Rattus norvegicus: one gene and its partners. The protein of the gene in region 1 interacts with the protein of each later gene in a pairwise test. Links are inferred from orthologs where the notes say so. Each region holds a gene or a part of one and is shown on either strand. Other genes may lie near its edges. The genes, in order: Rabac1, Ric8a, Zfyve21, Ndrg4, Syt16, Spg21 and Dusp12.

The links.
Region 2: the proteins of Rabac1 (region 1) and Ric8a interact in binary tests that used the Homo sapiens proteins (3 or more experiments, as listed by UniProt). The link is inferred for Rattus norvegicus from reciprocal best matches to the Homo sapiens genes RABAC1 and RIC8A.
Region 3: the proteins of Rabac1 (region 1) and Zfyve21 interact in binary tests that used the Homo sapiens proteins (3 or more experiments, as listed by UniProt). The two-hybrid records come from large-scale screens. The link is inferred for Rattus norvegicus from reciprocal best matches to the Homo sapiens genes RABAC1 and ZFYVE21.
Region 4: the proteins of Rabac1 (region 1) and Ndrg4 interact in binary tests that used the Homo sapiens proteins (3 or more experiments, as listed by UniProt). The two-hybrid records come from large-scale screens. The link is inferred for Rattus norvegicus from reciprocal best matches to the Homo sapiens genes RABAC1 and NDRG4.
Region 5: the proteins of Rabac1 (region 1) and Syt16 interact in binary tests that used the Homo sapiens proteins (3 or more experiments, as listed by UniProt). The link is inferred for Rattus norvegicus from reciprocal best matches to the Homo sapiens genes RABAC1 and SYT16.
Region 6: the proteins of Rabac1 (region 1) and Spg21 interact in binary tests that used the Homo sapiens proteins (3 or more experiments, as listed by UniProt). The two-hybrid records come from large-scale screens. The link is inferred for Rattus norvegicus from reciprocal best matches to the Homo sapiens genes RABAC1 and SPG21.
Region 7: the proteins of Rabac1 (region 1) and Dusp12 interact in binary tests that used the Homo sapiens proteins (3 or more experiments, as listed by UniProt). The two-hybrid records come from large-scale screens. The link is inferred for Rattus norvegicus from reciprocal best matches to the Homo sapiens genes RABAC1 and DUSP12.

What each region holds. Positions count from the first base shown.
Region 1 is NC_086019.1:89,692,218-89,696,449, forward strand, and holds the start of Rabac1 (prenylated Rab acceptor protein 1), read right to left. Parts: upstream 2,801-4,232; 5' UTR 2,696-2,800; coding exon 2,640-2,695; intron 2,398-2,639; coding exon 2,185-2,397; intron 1,940-2,184; coding exon 1,842-1,939; intron 134-1,841; coding exon 32-133; intron 1-31. UniProt on the Homo sapiens protein: General Rab protein regulator required for vesicle formation from the Golgi complex. May control vesicle docking and fusion by mediating the action of Rab GTPases to the SNARE complexes.
Region 2 is NC_086019.1:205,367,796-205,371,602, forward strand, and holds the end of Ric8a (synembryn-A), read left to right. Parts: intron 1-620; coding exon 621-716; intron 717-813; coding exon 814-958; intron 959-1,036; coding exon 1,037-1,181; intron 1,182-1,981; coding exon 1,982-2,101; intron 2,102-2,468; coding exon 2,469-2,589; 3' UTR 2,590-3,307; downstream 3,308-3,807.
Region 3 is NC_086024.1:136,708,446-136,711,740, reverse strand, and holds the end of Zfyve21 (zinc finger FYVE domain-containing protein 21), read right to left. Parts: intron 3,268-3,295; coding exon 3,192-3,267; intron 3,114-3,191; coding exon 3,022-3,113; intron 2,527-3,021; coding exon of another isoform or gene 2,470-2,526; intron 847-2,469; coding exon 704-846; intron 574-703; coding exon 538-573; 3' UTR 501-537; downstream 1-500. UniProt on the Homo sapiens protein: Plays a role in cell adhesion, and thereby in cell motility which requires repeated formation and disassembly of focal adhesions.
Region 4 is NC_086037.1:9,356,970-9,359,471, reverse strand, and holds the end of Ndrg4 (protein NDRG4 isoform 1 precursor), read left to right. Parts: intron 1-224; coding exon of another isoform or gene 225-246; coding exon 247-401; 3' UTR 402-2,002; downstream 2,003-2,502. UniProt on the Homo sapiens protein: Contributes to the maintenance of intracerebral BDNF levels within the normal range, which is necessary for the preservation of spatial learning and the resistance to neuronal cell death caused by ischemic stress.
Region 5 is NC_086024.1:98,616,694-98,620,966, reverse strand, and holds the start of Syt16 (synaptotagmin-16), read right to left. Parts: upstream 2,801-4,273; coding exon 2,278-2,800; intron 1-2,277. UniProt on the Homo sapiens protein: May be involved in the trafficking and exocytosis of secretory vesicles in non-neuronal tissues. Is Ca(2+)-independent.
Region 6 is NC_086026.1:74,874,764-74,878,935, forward strand, and holds the start of Spg21 (maspardin), read left to right. Parts: upstream 1-1,372; 5' UTR 1,373-1,567; intron 1,568-2,133; exon of another isoform or gene 2,134-2,235; intron 2,236-3,141; exon of another isoform or gene 3,142-3,262; intron 3,263-4,172. UniProt on the Homo sapiens protein: May play a role as a negative regulatory factor in CD4-dependent T-cell activation.
Region 7 is NC_086031.1:85,661,208-85,665,507, reverse strand, and holds the start of Dusp12 (dual specificity protein phosphatase 12), read left to right. Parts: upstream 1-1,500; 5' UTR 1,501-1,518; coding exon 1,519-1,859; intron 1,860-4,109; coding exon 4,110-4,223; intron 4,224-4,300. UniProt on the Homo sapiens protein: Dual specificity phosphatase; can dephosphorylate both phosphotyrosine and phosphoserine or phosphothreonine residues. Can dephosphorylate glucokinase (in vitro).

The DNA of each region.
Region 1 (4,232 bases):
CAGCCTCTCCCTACACAGACCCTGTACTCACCCAGGACCCAGAAGACAGCGGAGCCAGCACCGGCCAGCCAGAAGAAAGGGAAAGAGACACCACCAGCCAGGGCGTACTGATGTGCTGGGCTCACCTCACGGCCTGGGGACAGATGGTGTAAGACAGCCAGCCGTTCCCAGAGGTAACCAGAGCCACTTTGCACCCATCTAGTGTGACTCTGGAACCTTCCATGTAATAATACAGACTCCTCACATCAGGGCCTCCCACCCCTGGCCCTACCCCACCTCCCCAAAGTGACCTGTCCCCATAACGACCTTCCTCAGCTCCGCCCCTGCTCCACCTTCCCCAGGAGCCCCAGGCCACCTCAGTCTAGGGCCTGATGTTCCAGTCTGGTTACCAGGTGGCTCCGAGCCAAATCTGACCTGAGCATTTTTGTCCTTTTTTTTTTTTTTTTTTTTTTTTTTACTTTTTAAAGATTTATTATTTTGAACTATGTGTATATGCCCTGCGTGGGCATATGTACACGAGAGTTCAGGTGCCCGAGGAGGTGGCTATGGTGCACCCACCTGACTTGGGCGCTAGGAACCAAACCCACATCCTTTGCAAGAACAGTATTCAATTCTAACCACTGGGCCATCTCTCTAGACACTTAGTCTGATTATTATTTTTTTTTAAAGATTCTGAAGCCCAGGCTTATTTTGAACTTGGAGCAATTCTCCTGCTTCAGCTTCACAAGTGCTGGAATTCCAGGCACAGGCCAGCTTCTGTTTTGGGGATGTGTTCTCTGATGAGCTTCACAAGAATTTGGTTTGTGAGGGTTGGAGAAGGTGACCCAGCAGTTAAAAGCACTTGTCTTCCAGAGGGGCTCCTGCATTACACATTTTTTTTTCTTTTTTTCGGAGCTGGGGACCGAACCCAGGGCCTTGTGCTTGCTAGGCAAGTGCTCTACCACTGAGCTAAATCCCCAGCCCACACATTTTTTAAGGCTAGGACATGCTGGCCCTCTTCTTCAACCCTAGTACTCTGGACACAGAGGTGGGGGGAATCTGTGAATTGGAGGCCAGCCTAGTGAGTTCCTGGGAGACGACATAATTGGAACGAGACGCATTCCCTGCTCTCAATATATATAGAATATATATGCTTCCCCTCCCACCCCCCCACCCCCTGGCCAGGCTCTCCTATGCCTGAGAAACGTGTGCACCCTAGTGACCACTATCTGCAGAAGCCAAGTTCCAGTATTCCTTTGCCACAGCCCATCTTTGTCTGGTACTTAAACTTGCTGGGTCACGAAAGACTTGGTTTTTTTTTTTTTTTTTTGGTTCTTTTTTTTCGGAGCTGGGGACTGAACCCAGGGCCTTGCGCTTCCTAGGCAAGCGCTCTACCACTGAGCTAAATCCCCAACCCCCGAAAGACTTGTTTTAAGTCTCCTTGGAAACCCTTGGATTTCTCCTCAGAGAGTCTTCCTTGACACCTTTCTTCCCAGTGGGGCCTTTCCCCTCTGAGAATCCGAAGGTTTGGGAAGGAACACGGATCTAAGCCTGCATAAGGTCGCCATCTGGTGTCCAGTATGGGTATCTGCAGCTGATGTTTTACGTCGGGGTTTGGGAGGAACTGGATTAAGTCATTTACCTGAGACAGAGGTGCCAGGGGCTTTGGGGTCTCTCTGGGTTTGAGAAGCTGAGACTGGAGGGGAGCACCTGGTAGGTCTAAGCCCTTAAGGACCAGGTTAAATGACTCTAGTGTGCATCTCGGTAGGGGCCGACTTGAGTCCCAAATATTCGGAGGTTTGCATTCCGTGAGACCACGATCAGAAAGGCTTGGGAAGCCATTTGGGCAGGGGATTTCTCACCAAAGAGCACAAGCTTAGACTGCAACGTGCGCAGATAGAGAATGTAACAGGCGCCAAAGAAGACAGCCAGAGCCACCAGCAGCATGGGGGATGTCACCCTGGAAGAGTGTGGGAGACAGGAGTTAGGTATCCGAGGCTGCATCAGCCAGGTCCCTGTAGCTTTGGACAAACAGAAGTTACGTCCTTCTAGGTCAGCGAAGGTCACACTGCACCCTGGTCAAGTGGATGCAAGAGTACAGACTGACCAGGTCTTGTGGTGACAAAGGTGCTAACTGGTCTGGGCGGGGCCTGGCAGCCGGGGGCGGGGCCGGACTATCGAGGGCGGGGCCGCGGAGGCACTCACACGCAGTACAGGATGAGGCCCAGAAACACAAACACGTAGTTGCTTTGATAATACTCCACGTTGCGAACCAGGCGCTGGCAAAGCTCGCCTACGTTGCGGGGTCGCGAGAAACGTTGCTGGTCCACGAAGGTGCCCCAGGGCCGGATGGTAGCACGGCGCCGCTCCAGCCACTCTCGACCTGCGCCAGAGGGAATCAGCTTGGGTAGCAGGGTCCTAAAGGACGGGGCAGAGAAGATGAAGGCAGGAATAGGGTACCGGACCCCAGATTCTAGCATACATGGTCCCAAGGTTGACCTTGAACCCTGGGGGGGGGAAGGGTCCTAGGAGGAAGGTAACACAACTGAGTCCCTCCCAGGGGGTGAGGGGCTGAGATGTCTCTGAAGGGGAGAGATCTATGCTTGCGGGGGCAGGGACTTCTGCGTCTCGGATCTGGGGGTAACACCCTGCTTGCTCACGTGGCGCTCAGCCCTTCCACTTCGGCATCCTTCTGCTGGTCCTTCTGGGCCGCCATGTCTGCGCTGCAGTGAATAGAACCGCTGTAAATATCCCCGAGCCCAGCAGCACCTAGGCGGCCCCACCCGAGCCGGACTCAATGGAAGTGGCGCCGCTGGGAGCTCTAGGGGGCGGTAGTTGTGCCTCGGAGCATTGTGGGTGTTGTAGTCCTCGTGGCGTCAAGAGGCAGGTTTGCCTCGCAAGACATCTTGGGAGATGTATGCTAAGAGCTCGGGAGCCACTAGGCATTGTGGGAATTGTAGTTTCAAGAGGCGCAGAGTGGAATACAGCAGGTGGGCTGTCAGGACAGAGGATTTGATAGGAGTTGGAATAGCAAAAACAGGCGAAAACAGGCGATCTACATGCTTCCGTGGACCATGCAGAGCTGTCGTTCTGACTCCAGAAAGCTGATTCTGTTTGGGCAAGCCTGGGAAAGAGTTCATTTACCTTTTCTTTCCTTAAAAGAAAAGTACTGGGGCTGGAGGGATGGCTCAGTGGTTAAGAGCACCGATTGCTCTTCCTGAATTCAAATGCCAGCAACCACATGGTGGCTCACAGCCATCTGTAATGAGATCTGATGCCCTCTTCTGGTGTGCCTGAAGCAAGCTACAGTGTACTCATATACAATAAATAAAAAATCTTTAAAAAAAATCTTAAAAAAAAAAAAGGAAAAGTACTTACTTTGGAAGTGGGGCTGGAGAGAGCTTACTTGTTTCTCTTTCAAAGGATCATAGCTTGGTTCCCAGCACCCACACCCAGTGGTTCACAACTGCCTGTAACCCCAGCTCTAGCGGATCAGATATACTCATGTGTACATGTCCACACTCAGATACACATTATTTAAAAATAAGTGTTTCGGGGGCTGGAGAGATGGCTCAGTGGTTAAAAGCACTGACTGCTCTTCCAGAGGTCCTGAGTTCAAATCCCAGCAACCACATGGTGGCTCACAACCATCTGTAATGGGATCCAATGCCCTCTTCTGGTGTGTCTGAAGACAGCTACAGTGTACTCATATACTAAATATCAAAATAAGTGTTTTTATTTTAAAAGAAAAGATTTACTTTTATATGTTTATGTGTGTGCGCCACCAGAACAGGTTTTAGATCTCCTGGAACTGGTGTTACAGGGCAATCATGAGCAGTTGGGGTTCCAGTCTGGGCCACTCAGCAGGAAATTGTGTTTGGGTTTCCCACTTGAGGTCCAGCATTGCTTCAGAAGGTCAGTGGACGACCATATAGTGTACAGTTAGCCTAAAGACTAATGAGGGACACCACAAGGCCAGCCTTGGGAACCATTTGGTGGCAAAGGTCAGCTGGGTTTGACAGTTGTGGAAATCATTTCAGTTTCTTTTTGAGGACTACGCAAAAGTCTTTCTATTTCATAACTCTCAAGTCTCTGCTCCTCAAACACAGCAAAGATGGAGAGCAGCCATGTGGGAGGCAGGGTTTCCGGAGAAGGCAGAGGTATGTTGCAGAAAGTGGCAAGCTAATTGGGAGAATGCAGGAGCCTTGAATACAGGGGATTTTACGTTTGGTGTCTGGGGCAATTGGGAAAGG
Region 2 (3,807 bases), about 120 Mb from region 1:
ACAGCTGAAAGCCCTAGATTGAGATTCACTCCATCTGAGGAGCCATGTTGCTAAGCTTAGTGAGTTCGATCAGCTGCCTGCTCCTCTTGCTGCAGCTGCTGGCATTAGGCAGAGAAGGGATAGGTGCACTGTTTGCTGTCCGGGAGGCACTTTGAATAGGAAATCTGCTATTTGTTGTTTCCTGAGGGCAGGGTGTACCTCAGGTGTGCGGACAGCTTCAAATTCCGTTTGTTTTGTTCCTGGCCCTGGTTCATACTTGTAACAGTTGGTTTTGAAGAAGCAAGTTGTTGGCCCCCAAGTCACAAAGTTTCAGTCACTTCCAGAAGTAGGTCTGGTTTCCATCACTCTCTCTTCTTAGACCCCGTGCAGGCAAGGGTGAACTTGAACTTCTGATTTTTCCTGTCTCCCAAGTGCTGGAGTTACAGGCTGGTACCCCCATGACTGGCTTAATGTTTCCATACCTTCTTAAACTAATAAACGCCCAGCACTGTCTTTGGCCCTTAGCTAACTTTCTACAGCATGGCCTCTTTATAAGCGATTGTCAGAACCTCTGGTGAAGGGTGCAGTGTAGCCCCATCTCGCCTGGGGAGCATATGACAGTAACAGAAGCCCTTCTGCAGACCCACAGGCTGAAGGAGTGTGTGGCACCGGTGCTGAGCGTGTTGACAGAATGTGCCCGCATGCACCGTCCTGCCAGGAAGTTCCTGAAGGCCCAGGTACTTGAAAAATGAGACGGATCTGGGGGACCTGGGGATCCTTTATATAGGGCTCTGGCTGCTCCAAGCCAACACTTAGAGACAGCTGCCTCCCTAGGTCCTGCCCCCTCTGAGGGATGTGAGGACTCGGCCTGAGGTGGGGGACCTGCTCCGAAACAAGCTTGTCCGCCTCATGACACACCTGGATACAGATGTGAAGAGAGTAGCTGCTGAGTTCCTCTTTGTCTTATGCTCTGAGAGTGGTGAGTTGGGGGAGCCCAAGCCCCAGGCCTCCCCTGCCACAGCCATATTCACACATTGACCTCTGCCCTGGTCTTCAGTGCCCCGATTCATCAAGTACACAGGCTACGGGAATGCTGCTGGCCTCCTGGCTGCCAGGGGCCTCATGGCTGGGGGCCGGCCCGAGGGCCAGTACTCAGAGGATGAGGACACCGACACAGAGGAGTACAGGGAAGCTAAGGCCAGGTATGTGCTCCTAGTGTACACTTGGGTTCCCTCGTAACCCCCATCCCCCTATCTGCCCCTCCTCAACCACAGCCAGTAGTACGTAGGACAGGATAAGGAATGGATAAAAACTTGGGTTCTACTGAACTGAGAACAGGACCCCCGTTGAAGGAATCAGAGAAAGAACTGGAAAGCTTAAAGGGGCTCGAGACCCCATATGTACAACAATGCCAAGCAACCAGAGCTTCCAGGGACTAAGCCACTACCTAAAGACTATACATGGACTGACCCTGGACTCTGACCTCAGAGGTAGCAGTGAATATCCTAGTAAGAGCACCAGTGGAAGGGGAAGCCCTGGGTCCTGCTAAGACTGAACCCCCAGTGAACTAGATTGTTGGGGGGAGGGTGGCAATGGGGGGAGGATGGGGAGGGGAACACCCATAAAGTAGGGGAGGGGGGAGGAGGATGTTTGCCCGGAAACCGGGAAAGGGAATAACACTCGAAATGTATATAAGAAATACTCAATAAAAAAAAACAAAAAACAAAAAACAAAAAAAACTTGGGTTCTGATGACAAGTCATGTACTGAGGCCCAGTGAGTGAGCTCTCTGGGATCCAGTAGGTCTTGGGCAAGAGTTGTCTGCCTGGTGTTCAAGGGGGATCTCCCTTCTGAAGTCCCATCACCACCAAAACCAAAACCATGAAGGTGGGTTCTTGCTAACCCAGCCCTAGGCATGAAGATGGAGACTTGCTGCCCCACTGAGCACTGCTTTTCCTATAGCAGCACTAACCCATTTCTCATACACTGTTCCTGGGAATTAGCATCAACCCTGTGACTGGAAGGGTAGAGGAGAAGCCGCCTAATCCTATGGAAGGCATGACAGAGGAGCAGAAGGAACATGAGGCCATGAAGCTAGTGAACATGTTTGACAAGCTCTCCAGGTATGTTATGAGGAAGGCTTGTAGCTAGAAGACATGGGAATGATTCTGTTTTGTGAGCCCAAGGAGAATGGCTTAGAGATTCAGATCCTAGTGAGGCTGTATTGGGCATTTGAGATAACTTGCCCCAGAGGTAACCTTCTGGCAAAGAGAGAGGAGGGTACAGTCAGCATTGAGCCCTCTTTTTTAGAGGATGAAAATGAGGACAAGAATGTGAAGGACTGGCTAATGTCTCCAAGTTAATTAGGTGGTGGTTAGGATCCAGGCCTAGTTAATAGTTAACGCAGTCCAAGCAGCAGCCAAGAAATGAGCAAGAGCCCCTGCCCTGCACACTAGGTCCCTCCCCAACCACACTGTGTTTTCCCTGCAGGCACAGACTCATCCAACCCATGGGGATGAGTCCCAGGGGTCACCTCACTTCTCTGCAAGATGCGATGTGTGAAACTATGGAGGGACAGCTCTCCTCAGACCCCGACTCAGACCCCGACTGAAGATGGCAGCCACTTTGCTCCCCTTCAGAACTGGTGCTGTTTCCAGACATGCCTGGGGTGCTGCCTCGAGAAGCCACACCCCTCTCCAGCTGGGGAGCCGTTCTCTCTACTCCTCACATATCTGTCATCTGCCTTTGGTCCAGTTTCTTGTGTTTAGGACTGTGGTAGTCTTATCCTCTGTGAAGACAGGGAACCCACCTTTCATTTCCACAAGTGAAGTTGTTTCTTGGATGTGGCTGCAGCCATGGGCAGAGTTGCCTTGGCACATAAATGAGCGTGCATGTGTGAGGGCGGTAGCTGAGCAGGGTGCACACGGTGTAAGCATGGCTGGGCTGGTACCAGCCCAGAGCCCGTATGTGGGGCATATGCTGTGTTTCAAACATTCTAGAATCTGTTGAAATTGTTTAAGTATGTCAGAAAACACACCAAGCATCATGGTTTCTGCTTCTGGCCCCACTGAGCACAGGGTCAGTGGCCTCTTCTAAATTCTTGGTCCTGGCTCAGCCACCCACTGCAGTATCCACATACCCAAGCCTCACTGGTTGTGACCACTAAGTCAGTGACAACCACTGGTTTAGTAATTAGATGAAGGCAAAAGTTGTAAGACAAGGTAAAAATCTGAGATTTCTGAGGCACAGAATAAAGAGTTTGGGACAAGACTGTATATCTGTGAAGTAGCCGGGTGAAAGAATATTAAATAGAAACTGATTTCATTCTATTTAACATTCAAGATTTCCTAGACCACTACACATCTGCTTTCATTGAAGATCAAGGATAGAAGGCAAGACCCCAATCCCTGGAATCTTGCTGGGTCAGCTACATACTGTCAGCCGCAGTCAAAATGGGCTGTGACAGTAATGGGGTGCTTCTACCTGCAAACAGCCTAAACTTTCTGAGTAGGAGTCAGGGAGGAAGCAGCCTGTGCTTAGTCATAACCACATACAGGACGGGAAAACAGGAGCCCAGTGGGGTTTCCCAGAGTAATGCCTGCCGTTGGCTTTAGCATCGTTACTGGAAGAAGTCTGGGTGGAGTAGTGGGAAGTGCCTTAGAGAGGGGATTTAGCTCAGTGGTAGAGCGCTTGCCTAGCAAGCGCAAGGCCCTGGGTTCAGTCCTCAGCTCCGGGGGAGGGGGCCTGGGCAGATGGGGATTCTAAAGGACGGGGTATTTTTGAGGGAATGTATGAGAGGGGCCTGAGTTAACACCAGGGTAAGCCAAGG
Region 3 (3,295 bases), on another chromosome or scaffold:
TTATATACAAATTACTGTACAGTCATTTTAATAAAGTGAATAGTAAGTCAAGGTAGAAAACACGAAACTCTGATGCCTTCCTTAGAGACACAGCAAAGGGACTGTCCATGGCCCCGGTTAGTGACAGAGTGAACAGAGTCTAGAAACAGGCTAAGGCATTGTGAATGGGCTATTGAGAACGGAAGTGCCCAGTGCTAAACCAGGGCCTGAGTGATCACCACCCAATCTGTTTCTGTGGGAACAGGGCCAAAAATCTCTAAGGAACCTGGAAATGTACAGAAACGTGGTTACACTAAACCTGGTCTAGCAGTGCTGTCCTGCAGCTTCTCCCAACCCTACTGAAGTACCCATGATGCACTGCGACAGAAGCTCTTTAAAGCATTAATCAGCGGTGTACACACTAGGCGAGTGAACACTCTGCTTCCAGACACGTGAACTGCATTTCCAAGTACACACAGGGCAGAACCCCGAGTGCACAGGCAGGGCCAGCTGCGTGGGCTCTGTAACCCGATGTGCCCGAGCTCAGTTCCCGTGTACTTACTGGTCTCGTGATTCATAGAGGAGCTTGGTAGCCTGTGGAACACCATAATAAAGCACGATTGGCCTGTGCACCTTGTAATCAAGTGGGGCACCCCAGATATGTGGCAGTCTTTTGGTAAAAACACACTTGTCTATGAGCTCAGCCTCCCCAGCTCTACCATACCTTGTGCATGGCTGCCAGCCATGCTGCCGCCTGCCTCTTGCTGCCGCTTGCGTCTTCTCCAGCCATCAGCCTCAGCTGTGCTGCAGCCTCTGCCCCTGGCACTGTGTACTGCAGGAACATGCCTGTGGCTCGAGTGCTGCCTGCTGGAGGGGAGAGGAGGTGTCTGCCCTGTGTGCTGCTCAGAAAGCAGCCTTTGTTAGAAACATGCAGAGACCCCGTGTGCAGAGAAGGGAAAGGGATCCCCTCAGCCAGGATAAACTAACAGTACCTATCACCGAGAATAGGATGGTAACATGGTCCTCCTCCCCAACAGTCCAGAAACTGCCAGCCATGCTCCTTCCTACCTCAGAGAAACAGCACACAGGCAGACAGACAGACAGACACACACACACACACACACACACACAAGCTACAGCAGAGCAGTGGAAGCACAGAAACTGCTTTAGGGACGGCCTGGCTACCAGATAAGCCAAGCAGATCGTTACATCCGGTCTGGCTCCGCTGACAGCTAAGCAGATGCTGACACAGGCGTGAAGCCACACTACCCTGCCAAGCACCATTCTTCCCTACTTTGGGCATCCCATGGATGCAGCAAGAGGCCAAGTCAGCTCCATCTCTGGGCTGTGACCAGCTGCTCTTTAATTTAGGGTCTGCTTCAGGAACAAACCACTTGGGAGATCAGGCCTATCAGGGCCACTGCAGCCTCACATGATCATTAACCTCATGGTGACCAGAAGGGAAATGTTTTAGGAAATAACCTACCTTTATTCAGACATTAATTCTAAAATCAAAGCAGTCTGAGCCCCATTGGCCAGTGGACTAAGCATGCAGACCACAGCCAGAAAGAGGCCTGACTTCCTTGCCTGCAAAACCTCTGGCTGGGGCTGGCGGTGGGGGTGGGTTTACCCAGAGAGAGACTTTCTGAACTCAACTCTAATCAGAAACTTCAGAATCCCCCTGAAGGCCTCTGGCTGCACTGCCTCATCCAAGCCATTGCACAATTCCTATCTAAGCCATGCACCACCAGCTTCTGTAAATAAAAACGGGCCGAACGTGGTCATGGCCGCTGTTGGCTGTGGCTGTTTGGGGCTTTTTACCATCAAAATTTTACCACCCCCACGGGAACCAGGGAGATGATTCTGTAGTTAAGAGCACCTACTGCTTTTACGTAGGTTCAGTTCCCAACCTACTCTGGTTCCAGGGCATCTAACGCACTGTTCCGATCGCGGAAGGCACCAGGCATGCGCATGGCACACACACTTGCAGATGCCCTGACCTTTACACTCTCGGGGGCGGGGCTGACCTAGAAGAGGTTGGGGAGCTGGGTCTCTGGCACTAGGGTATCTATGCTCAATGCTCCATGCACCTCGTGCAGCTCCGTGCTGCATTCCTTAGCTGGGCCCCTCTAGAGACTGCGATGGAGGAGCCGACAGTCAGGGACCCCTGGAGGACAGTGTCTGCGGGCGGTAAGCTACTGGGTTCAGTGATGAACGCTGCTGCCCAACCAGCAAAGGAGAACCATACACTTGGCCGACACTGACAGAAGCTGTCACTCCTGCACGCCTTCTCCCTGGGAAAGAGCTGAGCAAGCTTACTTTGTTCTCTCAGGACACTGACTTACTCTGCATAGGCTCTTAGACTGGACCTAGTGTCTCTCCTAATCAAAAGTGACCTGAAGTTTCAGAACTACCCCAAGAGATAGAAGCAGAGGGGAGCAGACACCACAGCATGCTGGGAGGAGTGACCCAGGCAGGATGGAGGCTAACCTTCAGAGGCAGGCAGGCTCCCCAGGAGGCTGCTGTAAGTGTGAATGTCTTTTTCTACTTGAAGAAGGTAGGCAGGCAGTGCAAAGAAGAAACAACCAAGAGTCAGTCAGAAAATGGAAAGCAAGGTGCATTAGGTCAGATCTGCAAGTTTAGAATGTGCGACGCGCAGTTCAGCCGATGAAGTCAGGCTGAGGTAAGACCACTGAGCTCACCACGGAGCTGATCAAGGATCTTGGCTGCACAGACGCCTGCAGGGGAGGCAAACAGCAAGTCTGCAAGCAGGGCTCCAAATCAGCCACCACCACACGCCTCTGGAACTTCAGACCGCGCATTTGGAGCGCTGTCTGTCAGTAAGTAAATACCCAAGTCAGAGGAAATGGACAACAGGCAAATCTCCCCTCGTATCTCCTCTCCACTTACCTGGTGGGTTCTACAGTTACTGACTTAACAAAAGCCCCAATGAAGAGTATGGCGGGCCATCTGGGACCAAATACAGTACCTCCTGTTGCCCACATAGGTACTAGACCCCTCCTGCTCAGGAAAGGCATGTACCTCCAGGAGTGAAGCCTTCTGTGAGAATCTGGACAGTACACACATGTGCAATCTCAATTTCATGATGGCTGTCTCCATCCAGAATCAAGCATCTGTAACAAAAGAAAAGTCCTAAGGCTGAGGCCTAAAGCTACGACAACACTGGCCAGTGCTGGGGGACGTCCACTTACCTCTGGTTGTTGGAAAGACGACAAACCATGGTCTCAGGCTTCTCTGAGTCCCCAAAAGTAACAAGGAAGGTAGCTCCTTGGAAGACAAAACCAAACCACACGTG
Region 4 (2,502 bases), on another chromosome or scaffold:
TCAGGGTGCCTAACGGGCACCTGCCCTGCTCTGGTCATGGCTTTGGGTAGCTGCTGGGACCTAGGATCCTGCTGGCTGACCCTGCATGCCTTGGCCTAGTATAGCCAGTGCCAGCACCCTGGCTTGGGATGGGCCTCTGTATGTGGCAAGATTGGGTCTCACTGGCCGCTCTGCTTGTGTTGTCTTTTTCCCACCTGCCGGTACCCCACCCTGCCTGTCCTCAGGACCCTCTGTCTCTGTCCACAGTGCCCTCAGCCAGCATGACCCGCCTTGCGCGCTCTCGTACCGCGTCCCTCACCAGCGCCAGTTCTGTGGATGGTAGCCGCCCTCAGCCCTGCACCCACTCAGACAGCAGTGAGGGGATGGGCCAGGTCAACCACACCATGGAGGTGTCCTGCTGAAGTCCTCGTCCTGCCCAAGACACCCGCTTACCTGCCCCCAGGTCCCACTGCCATCTTCGCACCGGCTCATCTTCCCTCTGGTTTATTTTTGTGAGAGTGAAGGGGAGGAAATGGGGTTACTTCTCTTTTACTTAAAACGAAGGGATCCACCTTAGGACGGCGCAGAACAACAGTCTTAGAGGATGTGAAGGGCTCACCTTATACACTCGCATCTCACCGGCCACTGGTTGATACGGCCCCCTTCGTCTGCCCGTCTGGGGTGTGGCCAGGATGTAGGACATAGTACGAAAGAAAGCACAGCCCACCCCCTGGAGCTGGCAGATAGGGAGTTTGAAGATGGCAGGTGCTGAGCCAAGGCTCTGTTGTGAGTGGGAGTCAGACCAGTGGGGAGCCGTCCCTTTTCTGTAACCCTTGTACCAAGCACACCTAACAGTAGAGGTGACAGTCATGAGGACAGTAGCCACAAGAGAGCGCTCTGAGCAGTCAGCCATTTTCCTGGTGCTCTCTGGGCAGGACATGATAGAAGGCTAGCCAGGCTGAAGACAGAATATGGAGAACCCTGACATGGGGGCAGGAACCCCATACTCTGCCACCACAGGGCCATGTCCCACCCTGAGGCAAAGGTCACCTGGTCTCTCTTGTCCCCGTTGGTAGAGGTGAAATGTTGATGGCTTTGTATGCTGTGTACAGCCCCTGAGAACTTCATGGTTGCCCCTTTGGGAGCTGGCAGGTACTGTAGGTCCCTCCTATCCCAGGTTTCAAACAGCGAGTGTTTGTCACAGTGCCCTGGTCGACCTGGGCCGGCGTGTCACAGACATTATTACTTGAGAAGTGAGCATTAGGAAGATACAAGACAGAAAGATACAATGACCTCTGCTTGCTGAAGGGGCTGGAAATGGCCTGCTCCTTGTGTGGGAGATGGGTTATTCTCCAGATGAACAAAGGCTCCGTACCTCCTACAGCCCGCAACTATGTCTGCCACCTGACCATGTAGACTCTCACAGCCCAGAGCTATTGTGTCAGCCATCCCCAGAGAAGAGAGAGAGCACTTAAGTGTGAATATGGGGTGGGCGTGATGTATGTGGTGTTGTGTGGGTGTTCTGAGGCAGGAGGACACCTACATCCGTGTGTCTGTGGCATATGCCACCCCTTCTTTCTGTAACTGTAAGCCATTTCCAGACTGCTCTGAAGTCCAGTGGAGTGTATCCTATCCCTGGTTCTGTTCACTCACGTGCTTCCGTGAATACCGAGTGTGACTGTTTAAAGCTGGCAGAATTAATCCCTTACTGTAGATAGCACTTCAAGTATTGGACATCTTTTTGCTGTGTTCTTAAGATATCTATAAATACCTATACATTATATATATATGTATGTATATCGGGTCCTTCTGTATGTGGTTTCCCATTGATGGTTGTCTTCTCTTTGGTCAGGATGAACTTTTAATGGAGTTCATTACTTCCCTCTCTGTACAAAGTTAAGAGCCTAATTTTGTGTATTCTGGTGGCTGATAAGAGACTTTGAGATTACAAAATGCAAAACAAAAATCCTTATTGATATAGAAAGATATCTGTGCAGAAAAACTAATAAAGAAATTAAGCGTATGTGTGCCGTGCTTTCTATCACAGGGGAGGTTGCCTTAGATTCAGACAGGTGGAGGATAGTAAACATCTGTGTGTACCTCTACACCGTCAGTGCCTGGTCTGCACGTTTGTGGTGGGGGAGGGCTGAGTAGCCTCATTCTGTAGACAAAGCTGGTCTTGAATACTCAGCAGTTCTACTTCAGCGTCCTGGGTCCTTTGTTTTTTGTTTTTTTTCCTTTTGGGGTGATAGAGATTGAATCAGGGCGTTCACACACAATGGGCAAGGTTCTACCAAGTATATGGCACAGGCTATATACTCTGAGATATAGTTTTATCAATCATGACACTAACTCTTTTACAGCTGGGCAGAAAGCTTAGCCAGTGAGACCTCTTCAAAGCAAGGGCACGCCCCTTTTCGTTTGCTTGTCTTTAGTTGCTTTGAGACATGGTCTCACTCCGTAGCCTAGGCTTTCAAGGAACTCCCCATAATTTCCCTGTTTCTGGCTCCCAAGTACTGGAAT
Region 5 (4,273 bases), on another chromosome or scaffold:
TACAATGTACTCTACTTGGTATCTTTTGGTATCAATATGGTATCCTAGAAATGTTGGGGGTCCCTTCAACAAGAAAGGAATTAATGACTTTGTCTGGGTATGAATAATCTACTAATGTGTGTGGACTATATACATGCATATATAATGATTCATAAAAACGTATCAGCTGGTGTTCACTAGAGTGTGGAGGTAGACAGATGTGAGGATTGCCTACAGAAAGAAGTCCAGGAATTCTTTGAGATAATAAAACTGTTCTGTACCTTCTTTGAGGCAGTGGTTATAAGAAACTCTAAACGGTAACAAAACAGTAGTAGAAAGGCTAAGGTAATTTCATCTTGTGGAAATCATGTTTGTAATCAGAATAAGAACTGTGTTCTAAGATCAGAACACCTAAACTCTGTGTCTTCCCAACGGTGGAGTATAAGCAATGCGCTGTGACAATACTAAGAGAGGCTCCTTCAGAAGAACTCCTTCTCTTTGTGCCAAGTCCTACCACATCACCGCTAAGGTGGCACTCACCATGGCAGGCACAGCTGGAGAGCAACACCACAGCCTCTGTCATCTGACTTGAAGGTTGGGCCCAAGTAATGTTTGCATTCATATTTTATGGTTATGAAAATTAACCCCCCCCAATAAATCACTGCCTGACATCTACTAAGGCAAATCTATGTAAATTTCAAACACAGTTCAAATTAGGCAAGAATTCTTTAAAATCAGAATGAAATTTCAATTTGAATCTAAAATTCTACCAACTATATTACAAATAATTTTAGAAGACTCAAAACAGTAGTCGTTTGAAATTATTGCTTCAAAAAGAATATTAGCCTGCCTGACTTCACCAACTCATTCCAGGATTTCATTCCGTAAGAGTTAAGAAAGCATTGTATGGGGTGCTGCAGGACTTAGCCTTTAAATTGCTTGTTATAGAAGCATAATAATGACCTGAGTCTAGGCTCACAGAACCCACGTAAAAAGCTGGGTTAGGTGTGCATTTATAACCCTAGTATTGGGACTGGCAGTGACAGGATTTGCTGATTAAGCTAGTCTAGCCAAATAGAGAAGCTCCAGGTTCAATGAGAGACTCTGTTTCAAAAAACATGACGGGCAATTGAGGAAGTCCAGCTCAGTGTCATGCTCATGCAGAGAGAGGAAAAGGTGCTGTAAAGAATAAAATATTTTATTTCCTTATCCACCAAGATCCCATGTGTCTGGTAAGACCTTTATCTAAAAGGCGACACTAGGAAGAATCATTGAAAATAAAGAGACAGTATGGTATCCTAGAAATGTTGGCTCCCTCCAACAAGAAAGGACTTAATGACTTTGTCTGTGTATGAATAATCTATATATGGACTATGTGAGTACACACATCACACACACACACACACACACACACACACACACACACACACACACACATCCCCTAACCCCTCACCTCAGTCTACCATTCACCTCTGTCTCTGGGACCACTCTACGTGCTAGAAGATTGCAGCCATGGGAAATGTATGCCGAAACACATGCCAGTATCTTTCCCAGAAATGATTACATTTGTATTATATCCATGACACTTTTTTTTCTTTTTTTTCGGAGCTGGGGACCAAACCCAGGGCCTTGCGCTTGCTAGGCAAGCGCTCTACCACTGAGCTAAATCCCCAACCCCGACACTTTTATTAAAGCCCTGCTCTGTGCTCAGTTCTGACAACAAAGTATCTATCATAGGCGACTCTTATTAACTATGTCCTTATCATTCCAGGCTAAAAGCAAATGAAAGCGTCCTATTTCAAAGATCTCCCATCTACTGGCATCGCACACCCCGTCCTAGTCAGACGCTGTGAGAAGTATTCTTGGAGTGTTATCAACTACAAATTCTGAAACAAGTATGGCTGTTTGCACAGGATTTCATGCTGAATAATATAGTAACATCTAGAAATTCCTAACCTAGAGGGAGGGGGTTGGGGGGGAGAACATTTTTAAAGATATTTTAAAAACTGTGGCATGCGCGCAGGGACTTCTCAAACAGAACCCTCGGATTCATTTTAAGCTTTTTCACTTGCTCAGAACTATTATTTTGAAAGATGGAGCCCAAAACATGGATCTTGTAAAGCTTCACAGAACAAAAATATTCCTATGAATTGTATCTCTCAATCAGAAGCCAGAACGAGGGGATGTGTAATTAGCAAAGAAAGGGTAAAACCAATGCTTAAAATCAATACTTAAACCAGAGAGGAACCCTACAAGGCATCTAGAGGAGCATAGGAACAATGGTACTGACCAGCTTACCTTGCTTTCTTCCGTTAACTTTTTCTAAAGAGCCGGGAAGCTGGGTGTCAGAGCCATGCTGAAGGTCACATCTCTGCCCCTCAGAGTGATGTTCCTCCTCAGCGATAGAAGAAAGCACATGTGGGGGCTTTGGGCCACCTGGGATCTTATTGGGCCACTGGGAAATTACAGTGCTTGAGTCTTTGGCTTGCTGACCAAGTCTGAGGCTTGCCGTCTGGACAGAGTCCCGCAAATCACTATTAGAGCTTGAGAAATGGTCCTCTTCAAGAAACAGGGAGCCTGTCTCCTCTGGACCCCCATCGTTGTCCTGTTCTCCATCTTCCAAGCAGGTTTCCTGAATCTGAATAGCATCTAAGTCCTGCTCTGGCTTATCACTCAGTGCCGAATCGTGTTTGCTAAGAAGAACCAGTGAAGCAGATAAGGCATCCCCGGCTTGCTGGAGAGCTTCATAAACTCGGGAGAGCCAGGAGGACAAAGGTTGGAAGAAGTTCTGGACATCTTGAGATGCCATGACCAACACCATGACCAACTACCTCGTGTCTCCAGAGTCTGCTTGTTTGGTTCCTCCAGAACTCTGAACGTACGTGAAATATAGCATGAGCATAAGGAGAAATTTAACTGGAGGTCTCTGTTTTTTTTTATAACAGGCAAAACTTTATTAATGTACACATAAAGAAAACATGTGCAGTACGTAAGCACCGTTGGCAGTAAGTAAAACCAGGCAGCATGCTGGTTCTTGCACCAAGGTCTATGGAGTAGGTCTTTGCAGGGAACAGAGCAACTGTGTTTGATAGGGTGGTGGTCTCTTAGTGGCTGTGACCATTTCACTCTCAACACGTCTCAGCTGAAACAGAGGAGAGACATGCTCACACCTGTTAAAGTCACACTGTGGACCCATCACCAGATACCTGTAGTCAATATCAAGCAGCATTTGGGGGACAGAGAAAGATTATACTGAACTCTCATGATGGCTAAATAAAATGACCTTGAACATCTAAATGTGGGTTCTACCCACGATTGTACACCTCCTCACACTCACGCCCAACTTCTATTGCAACAACAGATTCTAGTCATGTGGACTGGAAGAAGTCGCTCCCCATAGACCAGTTTAACAATGTGAGAAGAGTAAAGGAATCTGTGGGAACAGCCAGTTAGGCATGACACTTCAAAATGCAAGAAAAACCGGAGGTTTCGTGCACAAACATGCAGACCCCAGAGAGCTAACGAACAGGCATCTCTGTTTTGAGACACAAAGGTTTATCCTCTCAAAGGAAATATGTGTCTGGAATTTCAACGCTTCCAACAAATCTTAAAAATAGAGTTTTACAGTTTTAGGCAATCTCTAGAAATGGTGTCTATTCTTGGGGAGAAATCGTACTGAATATGTGTGCATGGCAAATGGATCATGCAGCTTCCTTAGCGTCTTCTGCCTTTGTCTGTGTCCCCATCTCCTGAAGTTGGCCCTCTGTAACCTGCATGTCTTCTCAAACGTACCGTAAGATCAGAGTCTGAAAGGAGTAGCTTGGGGACACCCATAAAACAGCAGGGCACGGTGATGATCAAAGGGACTGTGCCTATATTTGTACACTCATGTGCAAACGCAAGCCTGGGCAGATTTACATCTATACATGGATATAGGTAATCCCATTGCTATCCCAGTGAAGGATAAATGCTATCAGTTGCTTCTATGATAACAACATCCCCCCCTCTGAATCACTCCATTCCTGAAGCTTCAAGCCTCTTGATCTTAGCCTTTAGTACAACTGCTTAATTTCCCTTAAAAGTTTCTCGTTAGTGATTCATAGGTGCCTTGATTCATTCAGTAAACAAATAACAAATACTGACCAAGCACCTATTAAGTACTGGGCAGAATGCCAGGAAAAAGGTAACCCTGAGGCCTCTGTCCTATGGAACTTGCATTTCAGCTAAGGAGGAACTGGGCTTTCTGCATTTTCCTCTTGAACGGAATAATTCATGTATCACTGTATAGCACTTG
Region 6 (4,172 bases), on another chromosome or scaffold:
TCACTATTTGAGATCCTTCTGCCCTACCTTTTTGAGGGCTGAGACATCACTATGCTTTGGGCAAAATGTGTCTGGTATTTGTTTAAGTTCTAGACTGGAACCTAAGGCTCCTGATCCATAGATCAGTGGTTTTGATTTTTGAGTCGCTGTTGTTTTTGTTTGTGTTCTCTAGGACTGGAGAGATGGTTTGGTGGTTAACAAACTTACTGCTCTTCCAGAGGACCAAAGTTGAGTTCTCAGGATGCAAGCCAGCTCATTACATTTGCAGTTTCAACTCCAGGGGATCCAAAACTGACCTCAGCAGGCACCAATGCACACACACAGACACAGACACACACACAGACACACACACACACACATACGGGTGGGGGATGATTAAAATCTAGGGGATGATTAAAATTCAGGTCAGAGATTAAGAGTACATACTGCTTTTGCATCCATGTTGGGCAGCTCACAAATGCTTGTAACACCAGCTCTAGGGGATCCACTTCCCTTGTCTGCCCTCCTTATACTCATGTGCACCACATACACTCCCACAAACACATACAATTAAAAGTAATACTGATAAAAATATATTTTTAAAGTTCTCCCTAAAACATTAGCATCTTGCTCTAGGAGGCTTACAATTTTTCAAACAAGATTTACAGGCCACTTAATATTATTATATGTTATTTCAGAGCAAAACTGTTAACAATTACTGAAAGGTGTTGTGGCATCTGCCACCTCTCTCCTAAGAATAGTGATTAGACTATGCCTGATGAAAGAGGGCAAGCCAGTGCTGAGCATGTCCCCTCAACATCAGCACAAAGTCACAAAAGGAAACAGGGCTTCAGAAGGAGGTCAGAGGAGGGTGACTGTACAAAAAAACATTTTGCTGAGAAAGCATTTGCAGTTGGGGAGCTGAGGGGAAACGGGGAATGGGAGGCAGAGATTAACAGAGGGTAATGATCAAAATGCTTTATATAGGTATCAAAATATCCTAATTAAGCCATTGTAATGAACTAATATATACTAATTTTAAAAAAAGACTATGTCAAGGCCCATTCACCAAAGCTGTGGCCCAAAGGTGTCTCCCACCTCCCAAAAGCATAAAGACGCCTAAAAACTAAAGGCAGAAGCAGATCCCCATGGTCTACAGCCCCGACTTTCACTACCATGGCTTCCTCCTCGGTGCTTCTATCAGAAGTGACCTAGGACTGACCCTTATTCACAGCCTCCGCAGCCCTCTAGTACACTGCAAGAAGTCTCCGAACCACCGGGCCTCCCCAGCCATCCCCGTCGCCATAGTAACCGTCAGAGCCCCGCCCCTTCCTCGCCATCTGGTCCCGCCTCCTCGGAACCCGGAAGCGGGAGGCGCGCCTGGGGAGCTGCCGGTTCTAGACTTGGGAGGCGGCGGCCTCTGGCTGCTCGGCCGCGCGCCCCCTCTGCCCGCTGCTCCCAAGGGGCCTCTGCTCTGCAGCCGCCCGTCCCACCCACGCCCCCCCCCCCGACTACATCCGCTGCGCCCAAATAGGGGCGAAGAGCCGTCTAGGCTGGAAAGAAAGGGACGCGGGAGCGGCCACGGCAGGTGAGGGGCAGGCCCTGGAAAGCAGGACTGTGGGTGTGTGGTCTGTGTAGGGTTGTAGGTGGGCGTGTATGGAGCATGCGTGACTTATGAGCAGAGTTCACGAGTGGGCCGGTCCTTGTGACCATGCACGTGATCCATATCTCTGTGTGTGCGTGTGCGCCTGTGTGTCCAGCCTTCTGTTCATTGCAGATGTTTGGTGTGCTTGAACTAGTGGAACCAGGGCGGCCCCTATAGCGATTGGAGCACAAAATCCTTAGTCAGACATCCTCATTTTCTTGAGCCACCTATCCTGCGGCTGCGGGGCAGAAACTCAGGAACATTTTGGTTTCAGTTTTTTTTTCTTTTTTTCGGAGCTGGGGACTGAACCCAAGGCCTTGCGCTTTCTAGGCAAGCGCTCTACCACTGAGCTAAATCCCCACCCCCTTGGTTTCAGTCAACTTTTAAGGGGCTGCGAGTAGAGTTGTTTTGGAGATCCTACCTCAGACTAGGTGTGAGGCCTGTTAGTGAGTCATGAAGAATGTAGCTGGGAGAGCGAATGACCCTTTTTTCTTCTTTTCCCAGGGAGTTAGAAATTAGGTGCTGATGACGTTGCTTTGTCTCCATCTGCAGTGGTCCAGCTTCTCTTTTTTGCAAGGATTCTGCAAATCGGGAAGTCGTCTAATAGTGATGTATGAATTTTCAAAAAGCTTTTACACCAGGACCTTGAAACGAGGTGTCAGAGAGAAAGTTGCCATGCAGGCAGCTTCTCCTCTCCTGACATTTAGAGAGAAGTGGATAGGTTCCTGGAGAAATCTTCGAAAGATAGCTATTTAATACATACAGGTGTGGTGAAGCGTGAAGATCTGTAGTAAAGGGCCTGCTGCAGGGCCTTAGCTGTAGGTCAGTGGTAAAAGCTCATGGTGAGCATTCTCCAACACAGAATCATAGCTGGGTCACCTAGAGACTCTCAAGTTCTAATACTTTTTTATTGGTTGTATTAACAATCACAGATTGTCCCTATACAAGCCAACTATACATTGAGAGGACCAGCAATATGTGACTGACCATGTGTTAAACATTTGTAAAGATAATTTCCTCAACTATAAACTGCAGGTTCTGTTGAAACTCTGAAGGACAAGTACATGCTCACAACTAGCAAATTTATTGTCCAGCAACACAAGGTCCAGAAAGAACTGAGTGTCCTTAGCCTAGGTGGAGGGTTTTCCTTGATTAAAGGGTGTTGCAGGCTCTTTCCTCACTAGCCTGAACAGGTGCTTTTGTTTTTGTAAAGAACAGAGTCACGAGAAATCAAATCTGCCCTGAACTCCCTGCCTATGTTTCTTTTTTGATCCTGACCAGTTTGATCTCAATCTCAGCTAACTTTCTGGGCCACAGACTTTTTAGAATGTTTCTCTTGTGACTTGGGAAAGCATCCGGCTTAAGTGGATGAAAGAGAGCTAGAACAAACTTTCCTTTTCATACCCTTCACAGCTGCTTTAGCTTTGCGGCGGGGGAATGTTTTTCTTCATAGCCATCAGCTGGTCCTACGCAACATTTGGTAACTGTCTCGCCTTTCCTCAGCACCAAACTAGCACAAGTGTTAGACCCACCTGTCCTTGCAAAAGTGTCCTCACAGCTGTGCAGAATCTCTTATCTATGGAGCTTAGTTACAATGTGTTCAGTACTGAGGTGCTTGTGAATTATACTGAAGACTTGGTAAGGACTACCCTTCTGCTGCTGTGGGAAAGAAGTGGGTAACTCCTTTGTTTGCCTGCCTGTGTGTTTGTACTGTAGTTTGGTTTTGAGTGGCAGCTGATTCCAAAACTATGAATGATTTTTAAGTTGTTTGATCCTAGAGGTAAACTTTAACAAATTGATTGATGTTTTAGTTTTGTGTGTTTTGTGTGTGCTGTATAGCTCTGGCTGACCTGGGACTCACTATGTAGACCAGGATGGCCTTGAACTCACAGAGAGCTAGCTGTCAGCCTCTGAAGGCTAGGATTAAAGATATGTATCCCCACACCCAGCTGTTTAGCCTGTATTTGATATTCCCTCTTGCAGACATTCTAGAAAATGTTTCCAGTTGGAACTGTACAGATGCTGTGGTGGTATTTCAAGTCTGTCCTAATATAAAATATTCTAGGATTAACTGTATGTTCTGGCAGTGGCTTTCATTCTAAAGTAATAACTTAAGGGAGACAGGAGAGTTAAAGTAACTAAAATGTATTACATAAATGTATGAAGCTATCATATAAAGCAATTTTAAATAGTGAAAGATGTGTTAAGAGAAATAGTTTAGATGGCTTAGATATTTTTAAACATGTTAATATTTTAGATAAAATAGATAAAGGATTGTGTTCTTTGTTTTAGTGTTCACAATCACATCTGTGCACACTGGTTTCAGCATAAGATTGGTGGTGATTTTCTTGATGTTTTAAAACAATTTACAATTTTAACAACGCTCTCTTAAAGCATCTCCTTTGCTTTGAGCTAAGAGACCGGTATCCTATCAGTACTGTAGTTAGAGTTTAATGTTAGACTGCCTCCGTGTGCTTGAAGTTCAGTTTAGTGATGCTTAAAGGCAGCAGCCCAGTGTTGGGTCCCTGAAGGAGGACCAATGAATTAG
Region 7 (4,300 bases), on another chromosome or scaffold:
GTGACGCACTTCCTCCAACAAGGCCACAGCTCCTAATAGTGTCACTTCCCATGGGCTAAGCATATTCAAACCAGTACAGCGATCTAGGATCATGGTTCTTGGTACCCAAGCAAAGTTCAGTATGGGTTCTATCTCGTGTAGTGGGTTTTAAATCAGATCAGATACTGGCTGGTTCCTGCCACCATTGCACTAGCGTATCTTGCAGGCAGGACACCATTGTAGATCAAAGGGTTTGAGGCTGGGCTGGTGTTCAGATTTCTCCTTTGGTAGCGTGTGGAGTACCTTCCTGCACCAAAGACACTCGTATATGTGGGTGAAGGCTCTCTGAAGGAAGAAGTTCAGCTTCTCCATGTCTAGTGAGTTATGTAGGTGTTGTCTTCAGGATTGGGGTCTTGCCATCAGTTGGTGGAGAGCAGCCTAAGGTCTTGGCAACAGTTTGAGTGGGTTTGGGGTGGGGGTGAGGGTGGGTTCCATGAGACTCCATTGACCAACAACTCAATTAGATGTCGACCAATCCTGACACTGGAAGCTTCATTTGGTGACAAGAGATGTCCAGTTGGAGAGTCTGTCTCCCCCATTATTTGGACATTTCATTTAGATTGCCTTCATATATGTTTATTTTAGGAAGCTCTACCATATTAGGTTTTCATGCCCCCCCCCTTAATTTTAGCTGTCTGTCCCTGCTTTTCTCTTCCCTTTCCCATTGGATCCTTCTGTTCTAGCCGCCCCTCAATCCAGCATAACTATCTATTATTCTATTTACCTTTCCTAGGGAGATCTATCTTTCCTCCCTGGTCTGTACTTAAGCTCTGTACTTAAGCTCTGAGGTTCTATATATTGCAGCTTGGTTATCATTGACCTAACAGCTAATATCCACATATAAACTTATACATACCAGATTTGTCTTTCTGGGTCCTCACTCAGAGTGATTTTTTTCCCCCTAGCTTTATCCATTTACCTGTGAATTTCTTCTTCTTCTTCTTCTTCTTCTTCTTCTTCTTCTTCTTCTTCTTCTTCTTCTTCTTCTTCTTCTTCTTCTTCTTCTTTTTTTTAATGGTTGAGTAACACCTTATGGTGTAAAACGCACCACATTTTCTTTATCCAATCTTCTGTTGTGACACATCTAGGTTTCCGATTTCTGATTAGGAAGCATCAATGGACAACATGGTTGGGCAAGTGTCTATCTTGAGGTAGATTCCCATCCTCCTGAGGAACTTCCGAGCTGATTTCCATAGTGACTGTACAAGTTTGCGAACCCACCAGTAATGGATGAATGGAGACTTCATTTTCTGCCTTGGACTTTAGAGGCTTGGGTGGAAAGGCTGCTCTAAAAGGAGCTTACTTAGCACACAGTCCCAGCAAGCCTCACATCACCTTCCCCAGAATCAGTCATTTTCCCTATTGCCGTGGTCCTCCCATGGCGCTACCGAGCGGCTGGAGTTAGTCCGACACCGGAGCTGGTTACTCTAGCCGGTGACTTGGTGGCGGGCAGAGGCTGCTTGGCTTCCTGGCGCCGCCATGTTGGAAGTACAGAGCTCTAACCATGGCTGCGAGCGTCAGGCTCCGACTACCAGCCCCGCCAGCTCGGCAGGGCACGCGGTGGAAGTGCGGCCCGGGCTGTATCTGGGTGGGGCGGCGGCAGTGGCTGGACCGGACTACCTGAGGGAGGCGGGCATCACCGCCGTGCTGACGGTGGACTCGGAACCGGCTTTCCCGGCCGGGGCTGGTTTCGAAGGTCTCCAGAGCCTCTTCGTGCCCGCGCTGGACAAACCCGAGACCGACCTGCTCAGTCACTTGGATCGGTGCGTGGCTTTCATCGGCCAGGCTCGCTCCGAAGGCCGTGCGGTGTTGGTGCACTGGTGAGTGCCCCAGGCTGGGGGGCGGTGCCTTACCCCGTGTCTAGCCTCTCTGCTGAGGCGCCCAGAAGTGGAGGGCGGTGCTGTCATAGCCCAAACCCTCTTTCCTCATCTTCCCTTGGGGTTTGTGGCTCAAGGGAGAGTTCGTAAACCCGCCCTTGGTTAAGGTTTTGTTTGATTTCATTTTCCAGCAACCATTGTCTGTGCATCCATCCTTCCATCCGTCCATCGGTCTATCTGCCTATCTGTGTTTTTGGAGTTTGGGGTTCACCAGATTAGTTCATTAATCACTAACCATTACAATTATTTCATCAAGTTTAGCAGCTTTGTAAGAGAAGTCAGAATCATTCTGGTGAATGGAGTACAGGGGTGAAAGTACGTGATACTTTTCTTCCTCGTCCTAAAGCTCACTAAACAAGAGAAAAACATGGGGCTTTTTGTTTTTTGAGGCAAGGTCTAACTGTACAGATCTGGCAGGCCCGGAACTCGCTATATCGAGCAGGTTGGCTTCAAAAAGCACAGATATCCTCCTGCCTCTGCGTCCACAGTGCTGCACACCTTTAGTGAGCCACCATGCTCGGGCAGTTTTAATCAAAGATTTACGTGACTCGCAGGTTTAGAGAAGCATGCACGGACCAAAGGAAAACCGTTCGTTCACATTCTGGGACTAATTAAGACTGGACAGTCGTATAGAAAAGGGATTGGACAAGAGGAGTGTGACATAATGCTATGGAAATGAGCCAGGAAACTCAGCCTGTCCTGAATTGATCGTCCTCGGGTGTATAGGCAAAGCCCTTTCTGGAATTGTGGTCTTAGGATGTATCGGACTAAATCGATCGGAGAATTAATTTGTCCTGCTTATAGCACGTTAGGCAAACATGCTGCTACTATGATGACACAGCCCCGATCTTAAGAAAATGCCTTTGGGGCAGGTTCTTGGAAAGGTGGAGGAAAGTTAGAGTGATGTTTCTCTCCATATTTTTGTTGTTTTGTTTTTGGGATGGAAGTTTTGCTGTGCGGTCTAGACAGTCCTTGAACTTGGGACCCTCCCGCATCCACCCCCAGTGCTGGTATTCTTTTTTTGTTTTTTGTTTTTTGTTTTTGGAGCTGGGGACCGAACCCAGGGCCTTGCGCTTCCTAGGCAAGCGCTCTACCACTGAGCTAAATCCCCAACCCCAGTGCTGGTATTCTATGCATGTGCTACTTACTGCTTTGACTTTAATTCTGGTTTTTGTGCTTAGAGTTGAAGAAGAGTGCTTCTAGCCTCTCCTTCAAGGTTCGTCAGAACATCAAGTGTCCAACACAGTCGAGTATGAGAGTCAGAGGTGCAGGGCTTCGCCCCAAGAAGCCCAGGTACCTGAAGTTGGGTCTGGGGTACAGACCTGAGTGAGGATCACTACAACCCTGTGTTCGACTATTGATTGACGCCCTGTGTGGCCAACTGTGTTCATTGCCCCTGAGTCCCACCAGAGGGCGCACGATGGCCAAACTGCTGCCTGCACCCATCTCTTCCACAAGGTGGAAGGAGCCAATGCAAATAAAGTTATTAAGTACTGGTGTGGGGGAAAAAAAGAAGGAAAATCTTAGTAGGTGTTTGGGGATCCCAGGGTAGTCCTGTTGGGGTCCGTCTGAACTGCTTCGTTGGACACTTCCTGTGTACCAGTAGTTGTAAAGATTTACACAAGGACAGAAGGTAGTGATGAGAAGTATGGAATCAGATCTGGAACAACTTGAAGTCAAGAGCCGAGGCGCCATGGCAACAGTTAAAACATTGAAGGCAGGCATTGTAGAATAGTTAATGCATCCACACTGTTCGGAATTAAGAAGGAATAAGGAAATAATCGATTCATGTTGTGCGTTGACAGTATTTAAGGGGCAGTGGGTTAATTTGAATGGAAATAGGAATGAGCTGGGTACAGGGCGCCGCACCTGGAATTCCAGCACCGAGGAGGCTGAGGCGGGAGATCGTCCTGACTCAGAAAGGAGTGAGGTGGACCGAAACGTTACCACTAACAGTCGCTGGGCTTTGTCTTTTAGTTTATTTGTTGGTTGATTGATTGAGACAGGGTTTCTCTGCGTAGCCCTGGCCATCCTGGACTCAACTCTGTAAACCAGGCTGGCCTTGAACTCACAGAGATCTGCCTGCCTCCGCCTCCCGAGTGCTGGGATTAGAGGCGTGTGCCACCGTGCCCAGCCTGGCTTGCTTTTTAACTGCTGCTATCTGCTATTTTATTTCGAAGGTCTCTTTTTCAGTCATGCAGGAGTCAGCCGCAGTGTTGCTGTAGTGACGGCTTTCATAATGAAGACCGAACAGCTTACCTTTGAAAAAGCCTATGAAAACCTCCAGACCATCAAGCCAGAGGCTAAGTGAGTCCTTTGGAGTCCCAGTCCCACGCGTGTGTTCGTGCGTGCGTGCGTGCGTGCGTGCGTGCGTGTGTTATTTT